Linked DNA regions of Ovis aries. The protein of the gene in region 2 purifies or fractionates together with the protein of the main gene of each other region. This does not show direct contact. Links are inferred from orthologs where the notes say so. Each region holds a gene or a part of one and is shown on either strand. Other genes may lie near its edges.

Evidence for each region.
Region 1: the proteins of PARP1 (region 2) and CTCF purify together in Homo sapiens (affinity purification with mass spectrometry; 6 studies listed by BioGRID and IntAct, with this or other methods). This does not show direct contact. The link is inferred for Ovis aries from reciprocal best matches to the Homo sapiens genes PARP1 and CTCF.
Region 3: the proteins of PARP1 (region 2) and LIG3 purify together in Homo sapiens (affinity purification with mass spectrometry; 3 studies listed by BioGRID and IntAct, with this or other methods). This does not show direct contact. The link is inferred for Ovis aries from reciprocal best matches to the Homo sapiens genes PARP1 and LIG3.
Region 4: the proteins of PARP1 (region 2) and MTA2 purify together in Homo sapiens (affinity purification with mass spectrometry; 3 studies listed by BioGRID and IntAct, with this or other methods). This does not show direct contact. The link is inferred for Ovis aries from reciprocal best matches to the Homo sapiens genes PARP1 and MTA2.
Region 5: the proteins of PARP1 (region 2) and APTX purify together in Homo sapiens (co-immunoprecipitation; 3 studies listed by BioGRID and IntAct, with this or other methods). This does not show direct contact. The link is inferred for Ovis aries from reciprocal best matches to the Homo sapiens genes PARP1 and APTX.
Region 6: the proteins of PARP1 (region 2) and TOP2B purify together in Homo sapiens (affinity purification with western blotting; 3 studies listed by BioGRID and IntAct, with this or other methods). This does not show direct contact. The link is inferred for Ovis aries from reciprocal best matches to the Homo sapiens genes PARP1 and TOP2B.
Region 7: the proteins of PARP1 (region 2) and RPA1 purify together in Homo sapiens (affinity purification with mass spectrometry; 3 studies listed by BioGRID, with this or other methods). This does not show direct contact. The link is inferred for Ovis aries from reciprocal best matches to the Homo sapiens genes PARP1 and RPA1.

The regions. Positions count from the first base shown.
Region 1 is NC_056067.1:34,736,546-34,740,045, reverse strand, and holds part of CTCF (transcriptional repressor CTCF), read right to left. Parts: intron 3,480-3,500; coding exon 3,359-3,479; intron 2,773-3,358; coding exon 2,623-2,772; intron 1-2,622.
Region 2 is NC_056065.1:28,693,606-28,697,105, forward strand, and holds part of PARP1 (poly [ADP-ribose] polymerase 1), read right to left. Parts: intron 828-3,500; coding exon 662-827; intron 1-661. UniProt on the Homo sapiens protein: Poly-ADP-ribosyltransferase that mediates poly-ADP-ribosylation of proteins and plays a key role in DNA repair.
Region 3 is NC_056064.1:14,812,603-14,816,699, forward strand, and holds the start of LIG3 (DNA ligase 3), read right to left. Parts: upstream 2,801-4,097; 5' UTR 2,488-2,800; coding exon 2,375-2,487; intron 667-2,374; coding exon 119-666; intron 1-118. UniProt on the Homo sapiens protein: Isoform 3 functions as a heterodimer with DNA-repair protein XRCC1 in the nucleus and can correct defective DNA strand-break repair and sister chromatid exchange following treatment with ionizing radiation and alkylating agents.
Region 4 is NC_056074.1:37,480,782-37,484,911, forward strand, and holds the start of MTA2 (metastasis-associated protein MTA2), read right to left. Parts: upstream 2,801-4,130; 5' UTR 2,420-2,800; coding exon 2,392-2,419; intron 2,288-2,391; exon of another isoform or gene 2,013-2,287; intron 1,660-2,012; coding exon 1,592-1,659; intron 1,216-1,591; coding exon 1,122-1,215; intron 1-1,121. Other genes in the region: EML3 (echinoderm microtubule-associated protein-like 3), read right to left, coding at 3,436-3,639, 3,722-3,852. UniProt on the Homo sapiens protein: May function as a transcriptional coregulator. Acts as a component of the histone deacetylase NuRD complex which participates in the remodeling of chromatin.
Region 5 is NC_056055.1:38,142,323-38,146,309, reverse strand, and holds the start of APTX (aprataxin), read right to left. Parts: upstream 2,801-3,987; 5' UTR 2,290-2,800; coding exon 2,222-2,289; intron 1-2,221. UniProt on the Homo sapiens protein: DNA-binding protein involved in single-strand DNA break repair, double-strand DNA break repair and base excision repair.
Region 6 is NC_056079.1:39,507,395-39,510,894, reverse strand, and holds part of TOP2B (DNA topoisomerase 2-beta), read right to left. Parts: intron 1,416-3,500; coding exon 1,306-1,415; intron 725-1,305; coding exon 632-724; intron 536-631; coding exon 421-535; intron 1-420. UniProt on the Homo sapiens protein: Key decatenating enzyme that alters DNA topology by binding to two double-stranded DNA molecules, generating a double-stranded break in one of the strands, passing the intact strand through the broken strand, and religating the broken strand.
Region 7 is NC_056064.1:22,831,594-22,834,473, reverse strand, and holds the end of RPA1 (replication protein A 70 kDa DNA-binding subunit), read right to left. Parts: intron 2,048-2,880; coding exon 1,961-2,047; intron 606-1,960; coding exon 501-605; downstream 1-500. UniProt on the Homo sapiens protein: As part of the heterotrimeric replication protein A complex (RPA/RP-A), binds and stabilizes single-stranded DNA intermediates that form during DNA replication or upon DNA stress.

The DNA.
Region 1 (3,500 bases), on a different chromosome or scaffold from region 2:
TTGGAAAACTGAGCAGACGATGGAGCCACTTACTGAGACAAGGAGTAAGTGGAACAGGGCTGAAGCCTGAGCTGTGTGTCTGTCTTTGGGGCAAGGACATTTAGAGTTGAGGGGAAAGATTAAGGAGAACATGAAAATGAAGGTAAAGAAGCAATACTTGATCATGTAAAGGTTTCCAGGAACACACAAGAATGGAATCAAGGCAAAGGGACAGGCCACAGACACGAAGAGTGACACAAGGTCTCTAGAAGCCGATAGGGAAAGAGGATGAATGCAGGTAAGTTACACATCTGGAAAGAGGAAATTTGAAGTTTCAACCTGCTGCATTTTCTGTGTGTCTAAAGTAAGGAAAGACGTTACATACTGAGACAAGGAGAAAAGGGAAAGAAGGTTAGAGGTTTAAACAAAGTTAATGATTTACCCTACTGTCTTAGTACTTCCTACATAGCAGGTGCTCAAACATCTGTGGAATGAATTAATGGGACACACTCACTGAGGAGAATGGGAACACAACTGATGAGGACAAACAGCTGGAAAACTGAGGAGCCCAGCTGCGTTTAGGATCAAGAATTTATGGTGCTAACCATCTGCTCAATCAAGGTGCTATCACTTCCAACTTTTGTTGTTGTTTAGTTGCTAAACAGTGACTTTTTTCGACCCCATGGACTATAGCCACCAGGCACTTCTGTCCATGGTATTTCCCAGGCAAGAATACTGGAGTGGGTTGCCATTTCCTCCTCCAGGCATTGGCAGGTGGATTCTTTACCACTGAGCCACAAGGAAAGCCTCGTATCAAACTTAAAGAGGGCCAATTCTGGGTAATGGAAATAAGGTAAGAGAAAGGGATGGCTCACTTTTTTACTCCCTACACATGTTCACTATATGAAGACTTTTTATACATAAATATATCATTTCAAGTAATTCTTAGACTCAACTTCTGCTCCTCAGACAGAGAGACCTAACAGTTAATGTCAAAGACTTTCTTATGTTTTTATTAAATATTTACAATAATAATTCTGTAAGGTTGGAATTATCCCTATATTATCAGTTTAAAAAAAAAAAAAACACCTTATTAGAACAGTAAGTATTTGGAGGTGAATCTTGACTCTGGTAGGTCTGCCTCCAAAGCCCATGCCTTCCTGTATCCCAAGGTGATGAATCTTAATTATTGCATATTAATGTGAAATCAGACCTGCTTTAAAAGAGGGAACACAAACTTGGTTTGGGAATGGTTTGGGGAGATAACTATTATTTGACAGCTCCTTAACTACCTCATAAAGAGTTCATTATGTAAGGTCTAAGAGGTTATCATGCAAGTACAAAACACTCAAGGTTTTCATTTGCATCAGGATAGTGAATAACTTAAAAAAATCAAATAATCCAAACAGTGGCCTAACAGTTCACACGGTACCATGAGATATTACTGGTTTAGGTTTTAGTTTCTATATGGTAAGAACAGTAAAACTCTTTCATTTATCTGAGAACAGTACTTCTTAAATTTTTCTGAAATCCTTTCCACACCAGAGTAGGATGAACACATGACCTGCTGGATCTTACGTGGAATCCAATGTCCTCTACTTCAAGCTCACAGTTTCATCTTAAAAATGTTTTATGTCAGTCTGCAGTTTGTTCAATATAGTCATATTAATGTAAAAATGTTTTAAGATACTAGTTCAATTGTATAACTTTACTCAAAACCTTTTGAGTAAAACCAATGGTGCAGAAAGACAGGCCAGGTTTATGATATGGTTTGGTATGCTCCTGATATGACCTGGGTACTTATACACGCCCCAGTGTGAGAAACAGCTCTAGAGGGTTCCAGGAGACTGAAGTCCAGCTTTGCCACTCATAAGCTGTGTTGTATCACTTTGGTCAAGACACCTGTTATCACCAACAAAGCTCAAATAAATACGCCTTGATGACTTCATATGGTTGCTGTGAAGATCAAATAAGTAAAAAAGTAAAATAAAAGTATAAAGACAACCTGCAAGATACAATTTATCTAAATGCATTATTATTATTATTTTGTAGGGAGCAATGTATTTTGGACAGAGAACAGACTGGGGCAGTATTTTTAACTATTTTAAGTAAGAAACACAAAGGGATAAATTCAGGTGACCTTATCTTTAAGCATATGAGTTATCCTAAAATTTCTACCACCAAACTCTGCCTTTATATTAACTGTAGCTTAATTATGTACAGAATTATAGCTATCACCAAATCAACACAACAGTCTAATTACCTAAAGTACAAATATTCTGGGGGAAAAAAAAAAAACCAAAACTGAAGTGGACTGACCTTAGTTTGAACCATACTATGTTACTTTCCTATTGGGGGACTTTTAACATTACCAGTGAAGGCTACTAATTAAAAATACACTTTCCTCTCATTATAGCTGCCATTTATTTACAGATGAGGTATAGTCAAGAAAAAATTTTGTAGTGTAGCTTCAGTAAGAGAAAGAAGAGACAGAAGAAAATAGCATAAGCAATGACGTTTATTAAACAGCAGGCCATTCACAACACACAAAACTCATGAAGTCAGAAAAGGAAGTAACCTGTGATCATTATCTTCATAGACTTGTCAAAATTTATTGAATTTGCCACTAGTTAACTGACTTACCCAGATCACTTTTCCGGGCTATGACAGTGTCACAGTGGGGACAGTGAAATTTGGCCACATTTTCTGTGTGCTTCTGTAGAATGTGCATCTTCATGGTACCACTTTGGGTAAACCGTGCATGACAAATATAACATTCATAAGGTTTTTCCCCTTCAAAGAAAAAAATACAGAATGAACAAATTAGATGAAATGACTAAGTAACTGCTATTTAACTGGAAGGATACCAGGTGGCAGATATGCCAAGCCACAGAGGACCTACAGTTCTTAACTCAGGAAGGATGAGGCTCAGGCCCACTGCCTGGCTCAGGCCTATCTTGAGAGATGAATAAGAAGTCCCAAACTGTGGCTACCACCTCTGCTCTGCCCAGCTCTGCCACAGAGTCCTTCATGTTAATAAGAGTAGTTTCTACAGCAGTACTTACTTTTGGAGGAGAGCAGATGGGATGATGGCAGGAGGACCTGAAAGTTTTCCTTTTTAGAAAAAGACTGTACTTTGAAAAACTGACAGGCTGGGTTAGGTAATCTACCCAGACTTCTAACAGTAAAAAATTTCCATTCTCCAGTGTATACTCAGAGCAATGAATTCTGAAGGTATGCCAGAGAACATCTGTCAATTATATACTATTTTCATGCCTGTTTCCATTTGGGTAACTAATAAGAGTATGTGGTGGTTCACAGGGTGCCATGGGATCCACTAAAAAGTGGTTCATTAATGCAAGCAAGGGAGAAGCCCTACCTGAATGGGTTCGCATGTGCCTTTTCAGCTTGTATGTGTCCCTGCTGGCATAACTGCACAAGCTGCACTGGAAAGGACGCTCCCCAGTGTGAGAGCGAATGTGACGTTTTAATTTGCTGACCTGAAATACAAAAGCAACAAA
Region 2 (3,500 bases):
GCAGGAAACTTAAATGTATATTACTGAGTGAGATAAGCCAATTTGAAAAGGTTACATACTGTGTGATTCTAACGACACAATATTCTAGAAAGGATGAAACTATGGATATAGGAAAAACATCAGTGGTTGCCAGGGGTTGGGAGATGGAGGGATGAACCGGTAGAATGCAGAGGAATTTTATAGAGCAATGGAAATACTCTGAATGACGTTATAATGATGGATATGTCATTATACATTTGCCCAAACCCTTACAGGAAAGATGTACACCACCACGACTGAAGGCTGATATAAACTCTGGACTTTGGGTGAACTGATGTGTCAACGTAACTTCAGCTGCTGGGAGAAGCTGAAGGTGGAAGAGGTCACGCCTCTGTGGAAACTCTCCACTTTCCATACTTTTTGCTTAATTGTGCTGTGAACCTGAAACCACTCTAAAAGAGGGTCTAGTAAGATAACCACCACAGCAAATTTAAAGGCTACATTTCAAGCATCTAGAAGTTAACATATCCTGTACCAACAGGACAACTCTGGGTCATTGGGATGCTGCTGGAGTAACGGGAGAGTGAGCTGAAGGACCTACTCTTTGCTCTCACAGAGCAGGCCCCTGCCCAGGAAGCTCCAGGGTTGGGGCGACCCCCGCACCTCCCCGCTGGGCACACACCTGTCGCTCCTCCAGTCTCGGCCATCTTCTTGATCTTCTGCTGGTCATCCCAGCGGAGCTCAGAGAACCCCTCCACCTCAACATCAGGGTGCCAGATGGAGTGGCCGACCTTCCAGAAGCAGGAGAGGTGGTGCCAGTGTGGGATTTTCCCATCGAACATGGGCGACTAGAAGGGCGGAATCAGAGGTGGAAAAAGAGCTGTGAGCCTCAGGCGCGGGCCTCAGCACCAGACATCCCCAACCCCCTTGCTTATCTGTCAACAGAGGACGGCACCCACCCCTCAGCTGAGGAAGCTGCCTTGCCTGCCCTGGGACAGGCACCAGGCCATCCCGTGGGGTTGACCGGCACTTCAGCTTAGCGTTCAGCCCTGAGCGCGGTTACCAAACTTGCCACTGCGTTTCCGTCGCAAACTCAGCTCAGAGCTTGGCGAGGGCATAGGAGGTGCCCGTCCTGCTTTCTGGCGCCCCCCCCCCCCCAGCGGACCACCGCCAGGGCCCGCGTGGCCCCCAGGGCTCCATGCACCTAGGACAGCGGGGAATGAGTCCCCGATGAGCGCCAGGCTGAGCAGATGTGTCAGAGAAGTGGCCTGCCGGCAGCAGCCAGGCAGATGTGCACGGAATGAAGGACTTCCATGAGGGAGACTGAAAGGGACCGGCAGGGCGGCACCCCACCCCCAGGGGCTGGAGGGACCCTGCTGCCCACCACCCACCATGGGCCACCCCACAGCTGTCTCTGAGGAACCAGCACCCTCATTTCACAGTCTCATGGGGGTGCGGTCAGACATGCAGCAGGTGATTCAGCCCCGGTTCTTTCCACTACGCTGCTCTACGTCGCTCGGCAGGAAGAGGTACTTAAAAATACACAAACGGTTCTTCTGACTGAAGGTGCCAAACATCTGCTTTGATAGGACAGAAATCTAAATGTCAAGCAGATGGCATAAAACAGCGTTAAAAATAAACACCCAGCAGAACGTTTAGGATGGAGTCATGCGGACACAGAAAGTGCTAAGGAAAAGCAGGGACAAGCTCTCCCAACTGGCCCTCTCCTACTAGGTGAGCAGCCTCTCTCTGGGTTTTATAGACAGCATTGAATACAATACAGGGTTAACGGCTGGGGCACAAGGACGCAGGGTTGCGCAGCGTGGGTTTACAGCGGCAATGGCTGTCCCCTGGGCTCCCCAGCTCTAACCAGAGCCAACAGCACTTCCTCATGTCCCATGACAGATGCCCCTTCCCATAGCTCCCCAGAGTTAAGATTCATTTGGGTTATTATTTGATCAAGGCCTGTGCCCTGCGTCGGGTCAGGAGCTGCCAGAGAGGCGCCATGCAATGCCTGTCTTGCCAGCACAGTCACGGCAGGCACTCAGAACATTTGTGGGGTGCCCCAGGTCTGGAGGGAAGAGGAAGAAAGGAAGGATGGAGGAGCTCCTGCTGTGGGAAAGATGCTTACTCCGAGACAGCCCTTCCATCCACAACCAGTCAACAAATGTCATTTCAGAGAACAGACTCGTGTCCTGGCTCTCAAACGTTCACCAAGGCAGCCAACATATCCTTAAACGCCTGGGCGTCTTGTTACAGCATCTGCAGTGGCCTTGACCTGGCTCTGCCTGCCCTGGAGCCCCTCTTTAAGCCTCCTTTAAGTGCAGAGAGGGGGCCCCTGACTCATGGCTCTGCCCACCCCTCACTGGAACCTATGGCCACGATTTCTTCCTGGCTCTCTGAGGCCCCCATACGTGCTCCTTTAACTCTGGCCTGAGTGCTGTGTCCCCAGCCACCGGCACAGTGCCAAACATGAAAAGCCTCCACCAGGGTATACTCATGGCACAAACTCCAGGACTGCTGAGGCCACTGGTCTCCCTCCAGAGGAAAGAACCCTTGATCTGTGCAAAGCTTTATACTTAAGAACTCAGGACAGGATGAGATGGCAAGAAAGTAACCAGGCTAAGGTCACAAGACTATTGCCTCACCAGGCAGTCGCGGGGCTCCAGTAAGGAGCAGAATTCTTGGCTGTAGACTCAGCAAACATAAGTGCCCACCACGTACCAGGGTCCTTACCGAGCCACTCTCAGGCTGCTTCCTGAGAAATGGGCTATAAAAAAGAGGCCACACCAGGGCCAGCCTACCCCAGAGAGTGCAAAGCAACTGTTACCACGAAGAAAGGAAGAAAGGCAGCAGGCCTTTCCTGCAGGCCCTCCCAAGAACACCAAGGTCGGGTGCATTCCCCTCCAAGCTGCCCCAGGGCCTGCCAGCTAAAGTATCAGGTATTTGATACTCCAAGAACAATCCTCCCACACAAATGTAAAAGAAGGTATTTAAATCCAAAGGAGGGGTGGGGGAAGAAAGGCTTCTTTTTTCTGGCCTTCACCAGCTCAGCCTAAAGGACCTACAAAACATTTGTGTAAACTCCACCCTCAATTACCATTAGAGAAAAATCATACTTAATTTTAATAACAAAATTTCCTTCACTAACAAGTAAGCAGGAGAGCCCAGAATGTTACACTTTATTTAGTTTAGAAAGTGATTACTCACTTGGTGGAACTGCCTGGACTAGAGCCAACCAGCCTCTTTACTCCTCACCCACGTCCCAATAGAACAGGGTCCTCTCTGACTGTCCAGTGAAGCCTATGGATGTCCCTTTCTCAGACTAACATTTTAAAATGCACAATAAAATGTGTAAGTTCACAAAGGAAGTCAATGGTATTAAAATAATTATGAAAACATTTAAAAAGTTGACTGGGATACAGTAATCTACAAGTCGCTCAGTCCAACTCTTTGCGACCCCATGGACTGCAGCACGCCAGGCTTCCCTGTCCTTCACCACAAACTTTAAAGCATTAAAT
Region 3 (4,097 bases), on a different chromosome or scaffold from region 2:
TGAAGTTATTTCTGAACAATAAACTTAAAGAAAGACAGGAAGAAAGAAATTGGGTTCTACTCTCATCTCGTTGCCTCTCAGAGCCAGTAAGATGAGAAAGCAGTATTCTCCACCCTACCTGCAATGTGCTGACTTATCTGCTCTTTCTCATTCTCTTCCAGCTCTTCCCAGCCTTCCAGCTCGGTGAGGTCCTCAATTTTTTTTGTGGTGGCCCGGGCCCGCTCCAGTTTCTCAAACATACATTTAATGTGGTACCACTCTTTCATATCGCCCCCCGCCTCTGAAAAGGGATTGGGCACCACTTTGCCAATTCGGCATACGCCCTTGACAATCTTTTCCTTGCATTTTTTGCAGCCGGCGGTGCCACGCTTGGCGTAGTCCACACAGAAGCGTTGTTCTGCCATCTCACAGGGACCACTGCAGAGTCCCACATGCGACCCTGGCAAGAAAACAAGGCAGGCGGCACGTGGTCTTAGGTTGCTTTCCCGAAAGGACGGAACAGGCTTTCTTCTCTGGAGGTGGTGGTGTCCACGAAGAACTGTCTCTGACCACTGGCCAAAGTGTCTTATGTCTGGCCGGTGATGTTCTCGGAATAGGCACAGTTCTTTTTTCCTGAGTGCACGGAGAGTTGGTGGGAAGAGGATCTTAAAAGCCAAAGTCATACAGCTGCATGGAAGGGGAAGAGGCAGAAAAGTGAGTTACAGAGGAGCTAGGCTTCTAATTTCCTCAAAGGCTGACATCCTAACACAATAATCCATGCTGACCAACCAAACCTCTCCCAAAGTATGAAGGATTTTTTTTTTTTTTGGCTGCTGTCTGATCCCTGACCAGAAATCGTACTTCCGCCTCCTGCAGTGGAAGCTCGGAGTCTTAACCACAGGACCACCAGGGAAGACCAGGTATGAAAGATTTATTGCCTACAGGATGAACAATTCCAGTACAGAAAAATTCAGTCTGCAACAGGATGTTCAATTACATAATTGAAAATTTAGATATTATCTAATGTATATCTAGTAAATCACAATCAAGAGAATTCAAGTAACATAAAACCCTTTCTCAGGCCACCAGCAAACCCTAAGCCTTAAAATGGATGGTGACCCTTTAGCATAAGATTCTAAAGTTTCTTTTTAAACATCAAGAAAAATTACGTCGGGAGTTCCCTGGTAGCCTAGTGGTTAGGACTCAGTGCTTTCACTTCTATGGCCAGGGTTCAAACCCTGGAGGAGGAACTGAGATATTGAAAGCCAAGTGGTGCAGTTAAAAAAAAGAAAAGAAAAAGACATTATTTTCAGGAAGCCTTTAATGTGAAATATAAAATATTTGTTATCCTCAGAAAATAATTAAGCCACTATATAGATCTGTGATTAAATCAGAAGCCCTATTTTGAGAGGCAATTAAATGGAGCCTAAAACCTAACCCCCTGGTTTCAAATCCTAGTTTACGGTCATAAGACCTTGGGAATTTCCTTAATCTCTCAGTTCCTCAATTTCCTCAACTGTAAAATGTGGATAATAATAGTACCTAACTCAGACAGTTGTCATTCTAAGAATAAAAACCCTTATATAGTCAATGAAGCGATTATCCTTTAAGCAAAGGCTCCCTGTGTGCAACTAGCCGGGTTATAATTCAGCAACTTCAATCTGAAAATGCTGAAGTAACTGGACAAGCAAGAATCAAAGGAACTGCTCAATCAATCCACATGGTAACAAGGACCATATCCACATAGTATCCCCCACTTTCTTTTATCCTTATTTTCTAAAATATCCTCCCAGTTCCAGCTTTCAACAGACTGGAAGTTATTTTCAGCCTGCACCAGGCTTTGTCGTCAAACTGCTTGCGGATGATAATGAAAAGCAGGCTTTACTTGCTGAAGTGAAACGTGATGCAGAGAACAGCAGGTAACTGGGAATCAGAGACGCGAGCGCAAGTGTGACCGTGCAGTTCAGAGACTATGTTATCTTTTGAGAATTTCCCTTAACTTCCCCGAGTCAGCTTCCTTATTCCTAAGACAGGGAAAATATCTACCTCAAGGGAAGGGGGGAAATGACACTGGGTCCGTGGATGGGCGAATGGGAGTGGGGGGTAGGGCTCTGAACTCCCTTGCAAATGTATTCAAAAGGTGCGCATTCAGCCTTGTACGTTTTGGGGAAGAAACAGTCAACGTTTTCATGAAACTTCACAAAGGGCTCTGTAACCCCTAGATGCTGAACCACAGAGTATGTGAAAGTAGAGCAGGCCCGTAAGAGGCGCTCAAGTTAAAAAAAAAAAAAAAAAAAAAATTAGGGTCCACCACCTTCCTGGAAAGCGATTTATGAAAAGCCGCCCCCAGGACGCCAAGGAGCCGGGGGGGTGGGGGGGGGGGTGGGGAAGGCACCTAGCCGCGCCCCTCCTCCGCAGGGTCCGGGAGGCGCTGGGCCACCAGGAGGCTCGGAACCGTTTGGGGAACCCCGCCTGGCTCACAGGCCCCTCGCGGCCGCCACTTAGCATTTCCTGAGGGAGCCGAGAAGGGAAGCCGTTGAGGCCCGAACGCAGCCGGGCCGGGAAGTGAGAGCCCCGCGGCCGCTGCTCCCGGAGGGGCCTCCCCTTTCGGGAGGGGGTACCGGCTACCCGCCGGGGCCGCGGGGAGGGCGAGGGGCGGCCAGAGCACAGCCCCGGGCTGGGCTGAAGGGGACGCGGCGGGAAGAGAAAGGCTCCCAAGCTCCGTCCGCAGCGCACCGACTCGGGCGGCGGCTGGGCGGACCCGGCCAGAGGAGCCCCGCGGGGGCGCCCTGCCTCCCCGGCGTGGGGCCGCGGGGGTCCCGGGAGCCAACCCCCGCGGGCTCCCGGGGGGCCGCCACGTCACGGAGGGTGTGCCCCCGGGCTCTGCGAGCCGGCGGGCGGGGGAGGAGACCACGGGGCTGGCTCCCGGGCCGCGCCGAGCCCCGCACTTCGGCCGCCCCCCTTTCCCGCAGGCCGGCCCCGCCGCGCCGCCCCCTCACCTGCCTTCCGGGCTCCGGCGCCGCCTCAGGCCTCGGACCAGGCGCCCACAGGCCGCGCGCAGCCACGACGGTTGTAGTGCCTGTCTCTTTAAATCCGGGTCCTCGAGCTGGCCGCAGCACGCAGGCGCAGAGGCCCAGGCCCCGCCCCCCCCGCAGCCGCGCCACGCGTCCCAGCCCCTTGCCTGCCACGTGGGAGGTGGCCCGGGTGCTCCGAGTGCGGCTTGGTCCGTGGGGTTGGTTCGCGAGGTGCCACTGCGGCTGGAGAAAGCAGAGGTGCCGAGATGTGGCGGCGCCCTGAGGCGCATCCTGTTCTCAACTTCTGAGAATTTACCCCACCCCCTCCCAATTTACCCCATTGGCTCTTGGTGTTAGAGAGTATCTGGTCCTTAAAGGTCCTGGTCGAGAGACTATATTGTAATGAGCTTGGGGAAAGCAAAGATTCATTCTATTTTTCTGTATTCTCTCTGTCTGTGTCCCGCAAAGTGCCTAGCGCATGGTAAATATTTGGTAAATATTATTGAATTGAAAAGGGGCACTGGATAGATACAATATTAAGGAGTCATGGGTACAGTAAACCCTTGATGGTGTGTTGTGTATTTATTTTAAACCTCAGGTTAGCTTTTAAGGTCAACTTTTTGAGAGATTGGAACGGCTGTTTTTACAAAAGGATAGTGGACTCGGAGGTGAGAGAACTTGTTCACGGTCTAGGAAAGGTAGAGCAACTGGGCATTGTTACGTAAGCAAAGGTCAGACCCTGGGGAAAATTCTGTGCTCTCTGAAAAGGATCCTGTCGTTAAGACTCCCGGCTTCCACAGCAGAGGGCGCAGGTTGGGTCCCTGGTGGAGAACTATGATCCCGCATGCCCTGGAGTGCAGCCAAAAAATTTTAAAAAAAGGTCATGCCCTTTGTTATGTAGAGGATGGAGAGCCATTAAGGGGCTTAAGAAGCAGTGAGGGAATTAGTCAACCAGTGCTGGCTTGGGCAGAACGTGAAAATGGAATGACAGAGGTCAGCATGGCACCATACAAGGCTGCATCATTGACTCAGTGGGCATGAGTTTGAGTAAATTCTGGGAGGTGGTGAGGGACAGGGAAGCCTGGTAAGTTACAGTTCATGGGG
Region 4 (4,130 bases), on a different chromosome or scaffold from region 2:
AGTTTGTTTTGGGGGCTCTCAAGGACAGTACCTCTCAAGCCAGTGCCAACACCTTATTCCCCAAGGAGCTGCAACTTGCCCTGAAACCTTAGTGGAAAGGGTTAACTTGGTTGGGTGCCAACCAAACAGGGAGGGGGCAGAAGAGCCACAGGCCCAGGCTCATTGGTGCATTGTTCCCAACCTCAAGGAGAAGGGGGGGGCAGGGGTGTGCAGTAGGCTCCACCCCTTGCCTGTGTGCTCCGGAAACCCTGTGCTAAGGCAAGGGGGACCACACCCCCCACAGCCTTTCCGATTGGACAAGACCAAGGTCAGCCCCTGCCAGACAGGGTTGGAAACCCCAGAGAGCCAGAGAACTTGGTCGGCCCAGGTCCTCCTTAACCCCTTCACGCCCAATGCTCAAAGAAGCCCAAAATAAGGAAAATAATTTAGAAAGGAAGAACAAGAGAAAGGGGAAAGAAAGCCAAAGCAGGAAAGGAAAAAGAAACTATAAGAAAACAGAAAGCTGTGTATCTAAAAAGATGAAAGCATCAAGAGAAGCAGGATAGGCTGAAAAGAAAAGGGAAAGATGTAAAATGGAGTCCAGGGCTAGGTGAGTCCTAGGCTATGTGAGAATAGAGAAAAAGCGCAAGAAAATGTTCCTGGCTTCCTATTTTCTCCCATCAGTGTAGTCTTACCACCTCATGATCACACCAAAAACCTGCCTTCCTATTATGCAGGCTTCTCAGTCCAGTCTCTTCTCTTCACCTGACCTTCGCAGTCACCACCTATCATCCCAACACAACCGAAACTGTCCCCCTAGAGATCTGCTTCTCTAAAGTGCTTCCTCATCCCCGATTTACATACTATCATCTCTTTAACATACACCATTCACAAAGGCAGATTCAAAAATACACACTCACACACAAGCCAAATTCTGGCTTTCCTTATCATGGCCTCTCCACCTTGCTTCTAACCCAACATGTAAAAACAGGCCTCCCTCTGCAGACCAGGCACTTCCCACCCCCAAACTCACACCCCTGCCTTGGGCATGCTACAAGAGAACACCTGCAGGGACATGCCCAGGCTTCAGATCATGGGCAGGGGGAGACAGGGAAACCGGGGGTGGGGACAAAGACACTCACTGGCATTACTATCAGCCAGGCTGTTGAGGCTACTCGAAATGTCCCTTCGCCGGAAAAGGCACACAACCTTTGCCTCCACGTTTCCATTTGCAGTCTAAGGAGAGAAAAAACGGTGGTGAAAACTAATCATTTGAAAGTGGAAATGCATAAAGAAGAGACTAACATCAGTGAACAAGTTTCTAAAGGATGTAAGAAAAACTCAAATTATGAATCAAGAGATTCACATTTAAGGACAGACTTCCAAATCCCTTTCCTCAGCCCCCCAAAAAACAGAACAGTAAAGTTCCCACTAAACTCTTAATAGCCTTTCCTGAAAGCGTGGAAGAAATGAATGAATGAATATGCATGGGTACTTAGGACAGGGTTTCTGTTATCGCTTGTCTCTCATTCACCTGAAGTTACAGATCTCTGAAAAAAGAAGACGGAGGTTGCTGGGTAGGGGGGGAGTGGCGGGCCTCTGCTCTACTCACCTTGTTGAGCTCTTCAATCCTTCTAACCAGGTAAGGATTGCTGGAGGAGTTCTCAAAATAGACGTAATCTGTAGGAGGGGGTGGGGGAAGAACCGGGAAGATCAGAGGAGTAGATGGGAGAGTCCAGCACCAGAGTGGGAGGAGCGAAAGGAGGCCTGAGTAGACCAAAAGGAGATAAGGGTCTAGGTAGAGAGGACGCAGAAATGTGGAAGTGTACAGACTAGCAGAAAATAATGGACGGACGTTCCACCCCCTAATCACCCAGTTATTAAATCAGATCCTCCGCTCAAAAGTGAGCCTTAAGGAGGAGACAAGAGAAGCAGGGGGTTCCCCTGCTCAGCAGTCCCCACAACTCAGCGATGGAGTTGCATCCCGGTCTCGTTCAGGAGAGCAATTGCTCATCCCTGTACAGGGCCCCCACCTTTGTGAACCGAGGCGCACAATAACGCCTGGGAAAAGGAAACCTCCCGGCCGCTCCCCCGTTGGTGGCCAAGCAGTTGCGCCGGCCCTTCGCGCCCCCTGCCTGCCCTGTCAGCCCCTTTGGAACCACTTTCGCAAGCCCACTCCACGACCCCGGCGGCCCAGACGCTGCCCTGAGAGTGCCGTCGGGCCGCCCGCAGCCTCCCCGGGAGTCTCGGAGCCCGGGCGCGTCGCGATCCCCGCGCCCTCGCTCCCCATGCTCCCGGTTCCGGTTCCGGTCCGCGCTCTGGACCACGCCGCCCCAGACGCGGGTCCCCGCGCCGCTGGGAGCCGAGCCTCTCCCGCCCCGAGTCCCGAAGCCCCTAACACCCGGTACTCACCCCCCACTCGGTACATGTTGGCCGCCATGGCCGTTCCCGCCGCCGCCGCCGCCGCCTCCGGCCGCACAAAGGGGTCCGGAAGGCTCCCGAGGGCAGGACTCGAAGCGAAGCCCTGAGCGCGGGGCCGGCGCTTCGCAGAAGTCTCAGTCGGGCCCGCGCAGCCGGCGCCTCCGCAGCCTCAGCCGTCGCGGCTCATCCCGGCCCGCGCTGTCGCCGCCGCCTCTATAGCCTCACGCCCGGGACGCCGAGACCGGCGCCGGTCCGCTCGGCTTCTTCCGGAACGAGCTCGGATCCCGCCGGACCGGAGGCAGGCTGCAACTACCTCCGCCCTCGCCGAGTCCCACCAGACGTTGGACTCTGAGGGCCGCCGCGAAGACTTGCCGGCCCGCCTCGGGGTTCGCCTCCTTCCGGAACACCTTCGGCGGATCCGGAGAACAAGGCCCAGCACTCGGCTCCGGTCGGAGAGCAAGCCCGCAAAGCTCGGCTACTTCCGGAAGAAGTTCGGCTCCCTCCGGCCAACCGCGGCCCGGCACTCGGCTATTTCCGTTGCGGCTCGGCCCCGCCTCCGAGGGCGGGGAGAGGAGTTGGGCTTAACTCTCTGCTAGCCGGAGTCTTGCAGCTCCACCAGCGGCCGCGAAAAACTCGAAGGGCCTTTGAGCCTCGCAGTTATTTGCAAGAGGCTTCGCCTGTTATTTGCATAAAAAGTCCACCCTCCCTCACCTTTTCCGCATTCCCCTTTGCCTTCCTCCCCGCCCCCATAAAGCCCCGAGGCGCCCAGCCGCGCCCCACAAAAGGACCGGGAGGCGACTTTGCTTTTGGTTTATTGCCCCTCAGCAGGCAGCGGGAGTCAGGGCCCAGGCTGGGGCTGCCCGGCTCAGCCAGCGGGTCTATACAGTGTGTGCAGGGGTGCCGTTCGCCCCCTCCAAGGAAATGCACTTTTGGGAATGTCTCGAAGTCGAGGACAGGGTCACCTCGGTCCTGGGGAATTTGGGTGGGTGGGGGCAGGGCCACACTGCAGGGCCGGTGGGTCCAGTCCGGCAGGGGTCAGACGTCAAGAGAGGAGGCAGGGGACAGGGAGGGGGTTCGAGAGGGCGTGGTGGGCACCGGCCCCGTGCCCCCAGCGCCCAACACTCGCCACTGGAAGATGCTGGCGTCCTTGCCGCCCAGCGAGATGAGGTGCGAGTCGTCGTGCGTGAACCGGACGCTGGTCACGTGGCTGCCGTGACCACCGTACACGAGGCTCGGCGCCTGGGCAGGAGAGAAGATGGAGCTGCAGCGGCCGAGGAGCTCCGGCCGCCCGCCCCACCCCGGAGGCCCCGGGAGGCCTCACCTTGGCGTGCGCGCACGGGTACTGGAAGAGGTGCACTTTGCAGAAGTCGTCGGCAACGGCCACGACGCGCTCGTTGTGGGAGCGGCACAGGGAGTTGATGTCAGTTCCATCCGAGCCATCTGGCCACACGCCTGTCACAGCAGCCGGCCTCAGCCCGACCTCCCCGCCCCCACCCGCGGTCCAGAGCTGCACCATTTCCCCCCTAGCTCAGGCAGCCCGGCCACCCACCCACCACGTTCCTGGCAATCCTTCCCAGTCCCGAGGGCCAGTGGCGGAGGTGGGGGAGGGGGGCGGCTCTTGGGCTGGATCTGCCAGTTTCTTGACGTCCACCCCCTACACATGTCCAGCATTCCGAGCCCCAGGCTGGCTGCACCTTGTCCCCCCACACTCACGCAGGTTTCCACGGCCC
Region 5 (3,987 bases), on a different chromosome or scaffold from region 2:
AGACTTATATATGAACTGGTTAGTTAGGTGAAAGTGGGCAGCCTAATTAGCTGAGGAGCAGGAAGTGGAGGAAGGAATCAAAGAGAAGATTCCAGTCAAAAGGAACAGGACAGTGTACACGCATGAAGAAGCAGTTCAGGGTTGCTGCAACCTAAAGTATGAGGTCAATAAGAGGCTGGAGATGCAGGCAGGTCCAGATGAAGCAAAGCCCTGGGTGATGGGCTGAGAAGCTCAAACTTTAGAAGCTCTAATGGATTTTGCAATTTAGTAAACAATAAATATTTGCTTAATGAAAGAAAAGATAGGGTGAATGAAATGACAGATCTTTAAATATTATTAAGCAGGACTTTGACTCAGATTTGTTTTCAAGGATCACTTGGGGCAGGATGGTAGGTAGTTAAAGAATAGTTATGCAGGGAATTGATCTAGAGACAGGGAAACCAGTTAGAAGGCCATCATATTTCAGGTGAAAGAAGGTTCAAAGTAGGACATTAATACAGACAAAAAAAGAACACAGATTTAAGAACTACTTAGAGGGTAAAATCAACAAGACAGTGATGGATGTGCTAAGATTAAGTACAGAGAAGACAATATTTGAACAGTCTGTGGGACTAGCAAGCAGAGGTATCCAGCAGGGTAGCCAGAGGTAAGAATGAAACTCAGCAGAGGTCTAAGCTGACACTTTAATTTGGGAGCATACAGGAAGGAGTTAAAGCCATGCTAGTTGACGTGCTCATTCAAGAATTGTGTACAGCATAAAAAGAATAGTGGGCCAAAGTCACAAGCCTTGGAAACACCCAACATTTTAGACAAGGAGGGAGGACTATCCACAGGAGAAATTACTGGTGAGGGAAACACTCGGGGGGAAAAAAAGCTAAAATGTAAGCTCTTCAAGGGAAGGAGGCACTTTGACATGTTCATCTGTATATCACAATAAATGTTTGTTGAATAAATCAGCTTAGTGTACTGTCGTGAAAAGCAAAGGAGTAAAGAGTAAAAAGTATCACCACGTTTGCAGCAAAAGGATCCAGTAATGATCGGAAGTGTCAGTCGCTCAGTCATGTTCGACTCTTTGTGACCCTATTGTGACCCACCAGCCTCCCCTGTCCATGGAATTCTCCAAGCAAGAATACTGAAATGGGTTGCCATTCCCTTCTCCAAGGGATCTTCCCAACCCAGTGATCGAACCCTGGTTTCCTGCACTGCAGGCACATTCTTTAGTGTCTGAGCCACTAGGGAAGCGTAATGATTAAAGAACGTATATTTGGTTTGATAATAAGTCACTAGTGACTACTGTATAAAATTTTAGGGGAATAACAGATCTGAAAGCTAGATCGCAGAAAGGAATGAGAGGTGAGGAATTGGATACAGAATTCACAATACTCTTCAAAAAGTCTGGATAAGGAGAAGAGAGTTACTGTATGTGAGCTAAAGAAAGATGGATCACCAGGAACTTTTTCTTTCTGGCTTGGGGGATAAGGAGCAGGGATCTGAATAACCTGACCTTGTTTATACATGACTGGGACACAGACAAGGGAAGAAAAGACAAATGAAAGCCCCGGTTTCATAGGTGAAAACATAAAAGAAAGGTCAGAAGCAAAGATAAAGAAATTTGTTTTGATCAAGAGACAGATCATCCTCTGATATTGAAGGAAAGGTATAGATAGGTGGTATCAACTTTGACGAGTGTATGAAAAGAAAGCAAGGGTAGAAATTTGAGGGAAAGCACATCGGATGAACTCAATTTTCTCCCTAAAATAGCAGATAACAACAAAGTAAGGTGTCTGGGCAGTTGAGAATCAGCTAAAGACAATCAATATAAATTAGTGGACAACATCCAGACCTCTGAAATCCAACTGCTCACGTTCAAATCTTCCCTCCACCACTACTCACTGCATAATTTGAGGCCAGTTATTTAAACTAAGACTTCTTCAGCTGGAAAACAATATTAATTATGGCTCTACACCACACTGTTGTCACAAGGGCTAAATTAAGATGTAAAAAGTTCGGCACCTGGCAAAAAAACAGCATTCAACATCATTACCACTCTCGTTAATAGTGAAGAATAGGCGCTATAAGGAAATGTTAAAAGATCATCCGACAACACTGCTTGCAGCGAAGGTGACAGGGCACAAATGTTCTGTCTCCCTGAACAGAGTAGTCCTGTCCTCTGTGTTCTAATGGCTCCCGATATATATCAAATTCTCAAAAGGCTCCAAACCTGGACCACATTAATTCCACATGGAAATTATAGCCTTGATTTGTTGAACCGCTATCATTGGTCTGCATGAGAAAAGGCTTGATTCTTCTGGTCTTCCTACAAGGCCAGCTGTGGATGCTGTGAAGGGCCCTCAAATTCTTCTCAAGGAGCGTTTCTGGAGAAAACAAAGTCGCTCCTGACAGGCTGCGAAGCCTCCTTGGGTCAGACAGTGCCCACTCTCTAATCTTTTTTCTGCTTGTGCTCTGACTAAGCTAGGTTCAGGTGTCAGGCGCATAGGTGAACCAACGCGAAGTGCAGTGGAGACCAACACGAGCGCCGCCAGCCGCTGAAACACGGCAGGAGGGAAATGGGCAGCCCTGGGCCTTAGAGCCCGAGGATGGAGCAACGCCTGCTTGCCTGCCGGGAAAGAGCCGTGAGAGCGTTATTCAGGGAACATTACTCTGGGGTAGAGGTGGACTCGATGCCCACACTCACGGCTCTCAATACGGCAGGAGACGAGGTAGGCCGACAACCGCCTTACCTCCAGATGGCTGAGGCCAACAAGCTCACGTTACTCCTTCACTTCCGGCGCTGAGGGATGACGTTGCAAGACAAACTGGGGCGCAACCTGTGACGTTTCCAGTGCCTGTCGGAAGACTGACTGAGGATCTCGCTAGATGCCCGGATGGGGAAGTGCCCGCCCCATTTGGTTCCGAACTGGGCAAAAGTCCAAGTTTGGTTCCTGGCAGTTAACCAAAAAACGACGAGTTCTCTCAGTTCCCCTCTATCCGAGAGCCGCTCCCCAGTCACCACCTCTTAATCTCTGAATTGGGATACACTTCAGGCAGCTATCCTCTCGGTGGCCGCTTCTAGGCAGCCATGCAGCATCTTGATTTTCGCTTTCCCTTCATAGGGAAAAGCTCCGGAGAAAGCAATGGCACCCCACGCCAGTACTCTTGCCTGGAAAATCCGTGGACGGAGGAGCCTGGTAGGCTGCAGTCCATGGGGTTGCTGAGAGTCAGAGGTAACTGAGCGACTTCACTTTCACTTTTCACTTTCATGCGTTGGAGAAGGAAATGGCAACCCACTCCAGTATTCTTGCCTGGAGAATCTCAGGGACGGGGGAACCTGGTGGGCTGCCGTCTATGGGGTCGCACAGAGTCGGACACGACTGAAGCGACTCAGCAGCAGCAGCAGCAATAAGGAAAAGCTCACTACTTTTAAAGCCACCGTTTCCGCTGTAGACAGTACCTGCTTGTGGCATTGTTTTCCCGCACGCTTTCGAAGCTACAATCGGCTTTCTCTTTTTCTGAGTGAGAAAGGTCTGAAGGGGCCAGAAGTGGAGAAACCTAAGATTTTTTTAATGCTGTCTTCACTGAATGAACTGGCTGAGGGGCTGTCAGGGAGGAGAATAGCAAGATGTTGGAATGAGATGTTTACTGATTTTTATGACAGTTCCAGGATGTTCCCTAAGAGTCATGAACTGCAAGAATTCAAAGGCATTCTGGCAGATGGAAAAACTGTGTCTCTTTTCTAATATCGTTTCCTTACATAGAGATTTAGGACTTCCCTGGTGACTCAGACAGTAAAGCATCTGTCTACAAGGCGCGAGACGTAGGATGAAGATATCAGCTATTAAAACAGAATAGGAGGATCTTCCAGGAAACAAGGGAGAGCTGCCCTTGTTGGCAGAAAAGATGCAGGTTTATATTAAGGTCACACCAGGAAGTGCGGGAGCACAAGGAGCAGCTCCGCGGCTGCACAGGCCTCATGGCAGTGGAATGTGG
Region 6 (3,500 bases), on a different chromosome or scaffold from region 2:
GGCCATACCACCCTGAATGAGATTTATCTTGTCTGATCTTGAAAACTAAGTAGGGTTGGGCCTGGTTAGTAGTTGGATGGGAGGTTCCGGGTACTGAGGAGTAAAGGTACTTTTAAAATTTGGTCTGATAAATACTCTGGAACTTACCAAAATCACATTTTACTTTTTATTTTAAAAAGTCTCCAATAAGTTGGAGCTAAAACTTCAAAAATTTGCAAGCTATTAATAATTTATTTAGAAACTCAAAAAGGCCTTAAGATTCAAATTAAAGACTATAAAATATTTCAAAACTTCTAAAACATCTCAAAAGCAACTTTAGAATTTTAAAAATTATTATAAGGATGGGTTAAAATACATGAAATTAAAATACGCTCAATAACATTCAAAAATGAAAAAGCTTCTTAAACAAAAGCTACTTACCATCAACAAGAGATGGTATAGATCTTTCATTGTCTGAGTTTGAGAAAAGAATCAATTCCTTGTTGATGAAATCATTATAAGTCAAATGCTTGGTTGCTGTACCATATAAGAATTGCTAAGGGAAAAGTCACACAGCAATTATGTCATTATTACTACATGGATTTTTAGCCTTTCTCTTTCTTCCCCCAGATCACAGCTCTTTATGACTAACCTCTGGTAAGCCATGTAACCTACGCTGTCTCCGATCTTCCATAAAGTTCGTTAACCATTCTTTTCTGTCATCGATCTTCTTCTTACTGAATGCCTGAAAAATTCCAGATAATTTAATACATTAAAAAAAATTAATTTCACTATAGAATTAAAATTTATAAAAGCAAATAATTAATTATTAATTTCTGGGAAATTATACAGTCTTTTCCAATACACTTCTATCAAAAATACATTTGAATAGAGGTCTCTGAATTAAAGAACTATGAAAGCAGAGCATAATCTGAGGTGATGGGGAATGACACTAAGATTAACTAGGCTGGGCTTAGAATTAAAAAGAGACATACCACAGCAAGCCAAGACTGGGAGGGGGAGGATGGCAGACAGAGGAAAAGGATACTGGGAGAGATTTTTTTAATTTTTAATTGGAGTTTAGTTGCTTTACAATGCTTTGTCGGTTTCTGCTGTACAACATGAGTCCGCCATAAGTATACAGGTATGCCCTCCCTCTGAAGCCTCCCTCCCTCCCTCCCCCATCACAGAGCATCGAACTAGGCTCCCTGTGCTCTATAGCAGTGAACTACCTTACGCGTGGTAGTACATGCAAGTCAATGCGACTCTCTCTCAATGCATTCCCCACCCCTCTGTCTAGAGAGATTTCTTAATTAACTTTGTTACCAAGGTAATGGCAGCATCATCTTCAGGACCAGCATATCTAAATAAGATACGGTGCCTTTCCATGTCAGCAAAGTATTCCTTGGCTTCCTTAGCTGTACTGGTACCCAACCCTGCACAATTTTTAAAATGAAAGTAAAAATAAGCCAGACAGAAAGAAAAAGACAAATACTGTATGATCTCACTTGTATGTGGAAACTAAAAAAAACAAAAGTCAAACTCATAGTAACACAGAGTAGAATAGTGGTTACCAGGGGCTGAGGGAAGAGGGAAATAGAGAGATGTCAGTCAAAAGTACAAACTTTCAGTTATGAAATGAATAAATTCTGGAGAATCTAATTACAGCATAATGCCTATAGTTAATAACACCATACTGCATATATGAAAATTACTTAGAATAGACATTAAATGTTCTCTCAAAAAAAAAAAAAGCTATAGAAATTAACAAAATCCAGAATGTGGGAAATGATATAGGACAAACTATCCAACTTTTTAAACAAATAAATCACAAGGAAAACAGAAAAACAATATAATAAGATTTAATAGACCTATGAACCAAATTCACTGTGTGGGCTCTGTTTGGATCCTGATTAAAAAAAAAAAAAATATATATATATATATATATATATATAAATGAACATTTTTAATATAGTCAGGAGAATTTTAACAGATTGAATATTTAAGGTTATTAAAGAAAGGTATGATAATGGTATGATGGGCAGCAAAAAATTCTTTTAGAAATACATACTAAAGTACTATATAAATTAATTATATTATTAATGCCTGGAATTTATTAGGTTGGTACAAAAGTAACTGAGGTTTTAGACCATGAATTTTAAATCACTGTAATTAGGCTCAAACACATCTTTATTAATCAAAATAGGAACCAGTACAATCAATACAGTTTTGCCAACAAGAAATGCTTGTTTATTCTTATAGCATAAAAATTGGTGCTTCAGGAATCAACAAGCTCTTAGGAAGCATTTTCTGCCTCCTGCTTGTTGTGGAAGCAGTTTCCCTGCAAAAAAGTTGTTGAGATGCTTGAAGAAGTGGTAGTTAATTAGTGAGAAGTCGGTGAATATGGTGGGTGAGGTAAAACTTCATAGCTCAATTTGTTCAACTTTTGAAGCGCTGGCTGTGTGACAACGGTTGAGCACTGCTGTGGACAACTGGGCCCGTTCTGCTGACCAATACCAGCTGCTAGCATCGCAGTTTCTGATGCAGCTTATCGATTTGCTGAGCATACTTCTCAGATGTAATGGTTTTGCCAGGATTCAGAAAGCTGTAATGAATCAGATGGACAGTAGACCACCAAACAGTGAACATTTTTTTGGTGCAAGTCTGGCTTTGAGAAGTGCTTTGAAACTTCTTCTCAGACCAGCCACTGAGCTGATCGTCGCTGGTTGTCATATAAAATCCATTTTTCATCACACGTCACAACCCGATCAAGAAATGGTTAGTTCTTATTGCACAGCACAAGAGAAGACAACTTCAAAATGATGATTTTTAAAATTTTTGTTCAGCTCATGGGCACCCACTTATCGAGCTTTGTCCACCTTTCCAATTTGCTTCTAATGCCAAATGGCCATAGAACGGTCACTGTTGAGTCCTTCAGCAACTTCTTATGTAGTTGTGAGAAAATCAGCTTAAGAGATGACTCTCAGCTGGTCACTGTCACCTTCTGATGGCCGGCCACTGTGCTCATCGTCACAGCTCTCGTCTCCTTTGCAAAACTTCTTGAACCACAGCTGCACTGTACGTTTGTTAGTAGTTCCTGGGCCAAATGTGTTATTGATGTTACAAGTTGTCGCCACTGCTTTACAACCCATTTGAACCTGAATAAGAAAACTGCTCAAATTTGCTTTTTGTCTAACATCATCTCCACAGTCCAAAATCAATATATAATAAATAACAAGTAACAAGTCATTAACGAAAAGAACATATAGCAAGAAATGCACAGTAAAATGATGTATAATATAACCACATTTATTTAAGAATGTACTCCAATATCAAATGACAAAGTTCAACAAAGGAAAACTGCAATTACTTTTGCACCAACGTAATATTTCAAACTAATGGGAAGGCGATGAGAAGAGTTCAGATGAAACAAGATTGTTCATGAAATGATGACACTTAAGTACATGGGAAGCCCATTAACCTATTCTACTTACATAAAATTTTCCATAATAACTCTTTAA
Region 7 (2,880 bases), on a different chromosome or scaffold from region 2:
GCCTTTGAAATCAAGGAAGACAGGCTTCCTAAAACACTCAAGTTCCTCCACAAAACCACTTCTCAGCACTCCCCTGGGAAGGGGCCCGAGCTGAGAAGGTGTCGCCACTGGAGAAGCGGGAACCCTGCCTACATAATTTAGTTCACTGTCTACAGATTGAGGGTCAATTTCCTGTGACATAATTTCTGGTTGAAAATAACGAGATCTTAGTAAAACTGACAAAAGCCTAAGGACAGGGGGTGAGTGGCACTACAGTCTGTGCAGCTGACCCCGAGGTCTGACACGGTTTACACCAGAGCCCTGCGAGCGTATTTCCCTTTGCTGTCAGTGGGTTCCCAGGTGTGACGAGAGGCGATGGCTTAGTCTGTGGTAGAGGGGTGCTCTGCACCGCTGTCAGTCGGGGCGGGGATGGTGGTGCGCGTGGAGGCTGGGGGTGGGGGGGGGGGGGGGATTCAATCAGCCCTCTATCCACACGCTCCTGCCCCCTTGGCAGGATCCTCTCACATCGCCGCGTTCCTCCTGATGTTCATGACCAGCCTTCTGCCGTATTCTTTGTAGTCCACAGGCTTCACATCCACCACCGTGGCCTTAATCCGAGACTCATCCTTTGAAAAGAGAAGAACGATTTGTGATGGAAGAAACACCTGTGGCCATGCTCCTGGTTTCAGTGACCCCAACAGGAGAGAGCACGAAGACATGCTGGTGGTTCAGAGTCCCGAGAGCCCAGGAAAGGAGCCGTGCTGATGAGCACCGGGGCAAAGGCCCTGCACCGGTTCCTCATGGTCCCAGACACTCGGAAACCTGGACTCCAACAGAGCCAGAAACGGGAGCCCAGAAGACAGTGGCTTGCTAAAGCTACGCCACGGGCTCTGTGAGCGGGCGGTAGGAGAGCAGCCGTGCTCGCAGCAGAGGGCGAAGCCTGCTTCGGCCTGCCTCAGCTCCGTGAGAGGCGACCTTGCTGCCCTTCACCACCCCTGCCCACGCCACACAGGGACCAGTGACCCTTCCACCCCTCCCCCTCGACCACCCCCACCCCACCCTGACACCACACTGCTGACATCGAAAGGCTCATTTAATGCTCACAAAACCAGGCACAGCTGTTAGCAGGTATTAGGGTTCAGGCCTGACAAGAAAGCAGAGCAAGCAAATCCTGAAACAAGCAAGGTTTTCTGAATTCTCCTGTCGCCTGTTCACCAGGTTGGACAGTGCCTTCAGAGGCAGACTGGGGTGAGGCCAGCTCAGGGCCTGCACACTCCAGCTCTGTACCTACAAAACCCAGTCAGATCTCTAAGCATGTGTAGAGCTCTGAGGCTGGACTGCCTACATGCAATTATCAGCTGTGCCACTTGCTAGCGTATGAATTTAGGCAAGTTACTCAACTCTCCGTAACTACAGCTTTTCACTAGCAAAATGCAGGCAACAACAGTTCCTTCACACAGGGTTACTGCTAGGATGAATGGAGACGAAGTATGCAAAGGGTGGGGAACAGTATCTGGCAGATAGTCAGCACTCAATAAAGGCTGTTTTTTCATGATTTTATAATTGTATGACGTTATGAGCAATTAAAGGAATTTCCAAGGTAATGTTAACCACATGTGGTCTTTCTCTCATATACTGACTTTAGAACCCAAACCATGGGGAAGATGGGGTTTGTGTCTGTCAGGACACAAACCAAAATCCCCCAGGTTTTAACTGAAAAGGCCACACAGCATGTTTTCCTTGGCTGTTATTACTGGACATGACCCCTAACCTCTCTCTTGGTCTGTTTGCTCATCTGAAAACAGAGATGGTAACAGCACCCTAATGTTGGTGACTCAGTGAGTAATACATGCAGGGTGTTACGAGTTGGGTCTGGAACACAGTAAGCGAGGAACTGACAGCTAACACTGTAGTGGGGTTGTGGGTGACAGACGAGAGTTCTATGCTGCTACCCTCACGCACCACGGGTGACGCTACTTACATTGTAGGTCTCCAGTTTGACCCTGATCCTGAACGTAAAAGATCGAAAGTTGGCATTCTGGAAAACTTCCTCAAATGCTTGCTCGTTCTGCAGAAACAAAACGTAAAACTGTCAGCATGGAAACTACCAGACCACCTTAAATTATCTATACGGTTTTTAAAAAGACTTGGAGGAAAATCTCTGAGAAAATGATTACCTCCCAGTGGCTTGAAATTTCTTAGGAATGACTAATATATAGGTGACATTTCATCGCATAAAACTGTTTAGGTAGAATTTTATTAAAAATTAAAATACTCTACCTAGAGTACTCAATTTCATACAGACAGAAAGTGGAATGATGGCTGCCAGGGGCAACAGACAGTTAGTGTTTGATGGGTACAGGGTTTCAGCTGAGGAGGATGAAAAAGTTCTACAGCTGGATGATGGTGGCAGCTGCACAGCAATATGAAGGTATTTTAATGCCGGTGAACTTATACATGTGGGCTTCCCTGGTGGCTCAGCTGGTAAAGCCACCTGCAATGGAGGAGACCTGGGTTCAGTCCCTGGGTTGGGAAGATTCTCTGGAGAAGGGAAAGGCTGCCCACTCCATATTCTGGCCTGGAGAATGCCACGGGCTGTATAGTCCATGCGGCTTCCCTGGGTTCAGTCCCTGGGTCGGGAAGATCCAGCGGAGAAGGAAATGGCAACCCTCTCCAGTACTTTTGCCTGGAAAATTCCATGGACGGAGGAGACTGGTAGGCTATAGTCCATGGGATTGCAAAGAGTCAGACACGACTGAGCAACTTTACTGGTTCACTGGTATAGTCCCTGGGGTCGCAAAAGAGTCGGATACGACTAAGCGACTTTCACTCACTCACTCACAATGGTAAATTTTACGGATATTTTATCACAATAGAAAAAAACTAAACACTCTTAAACAC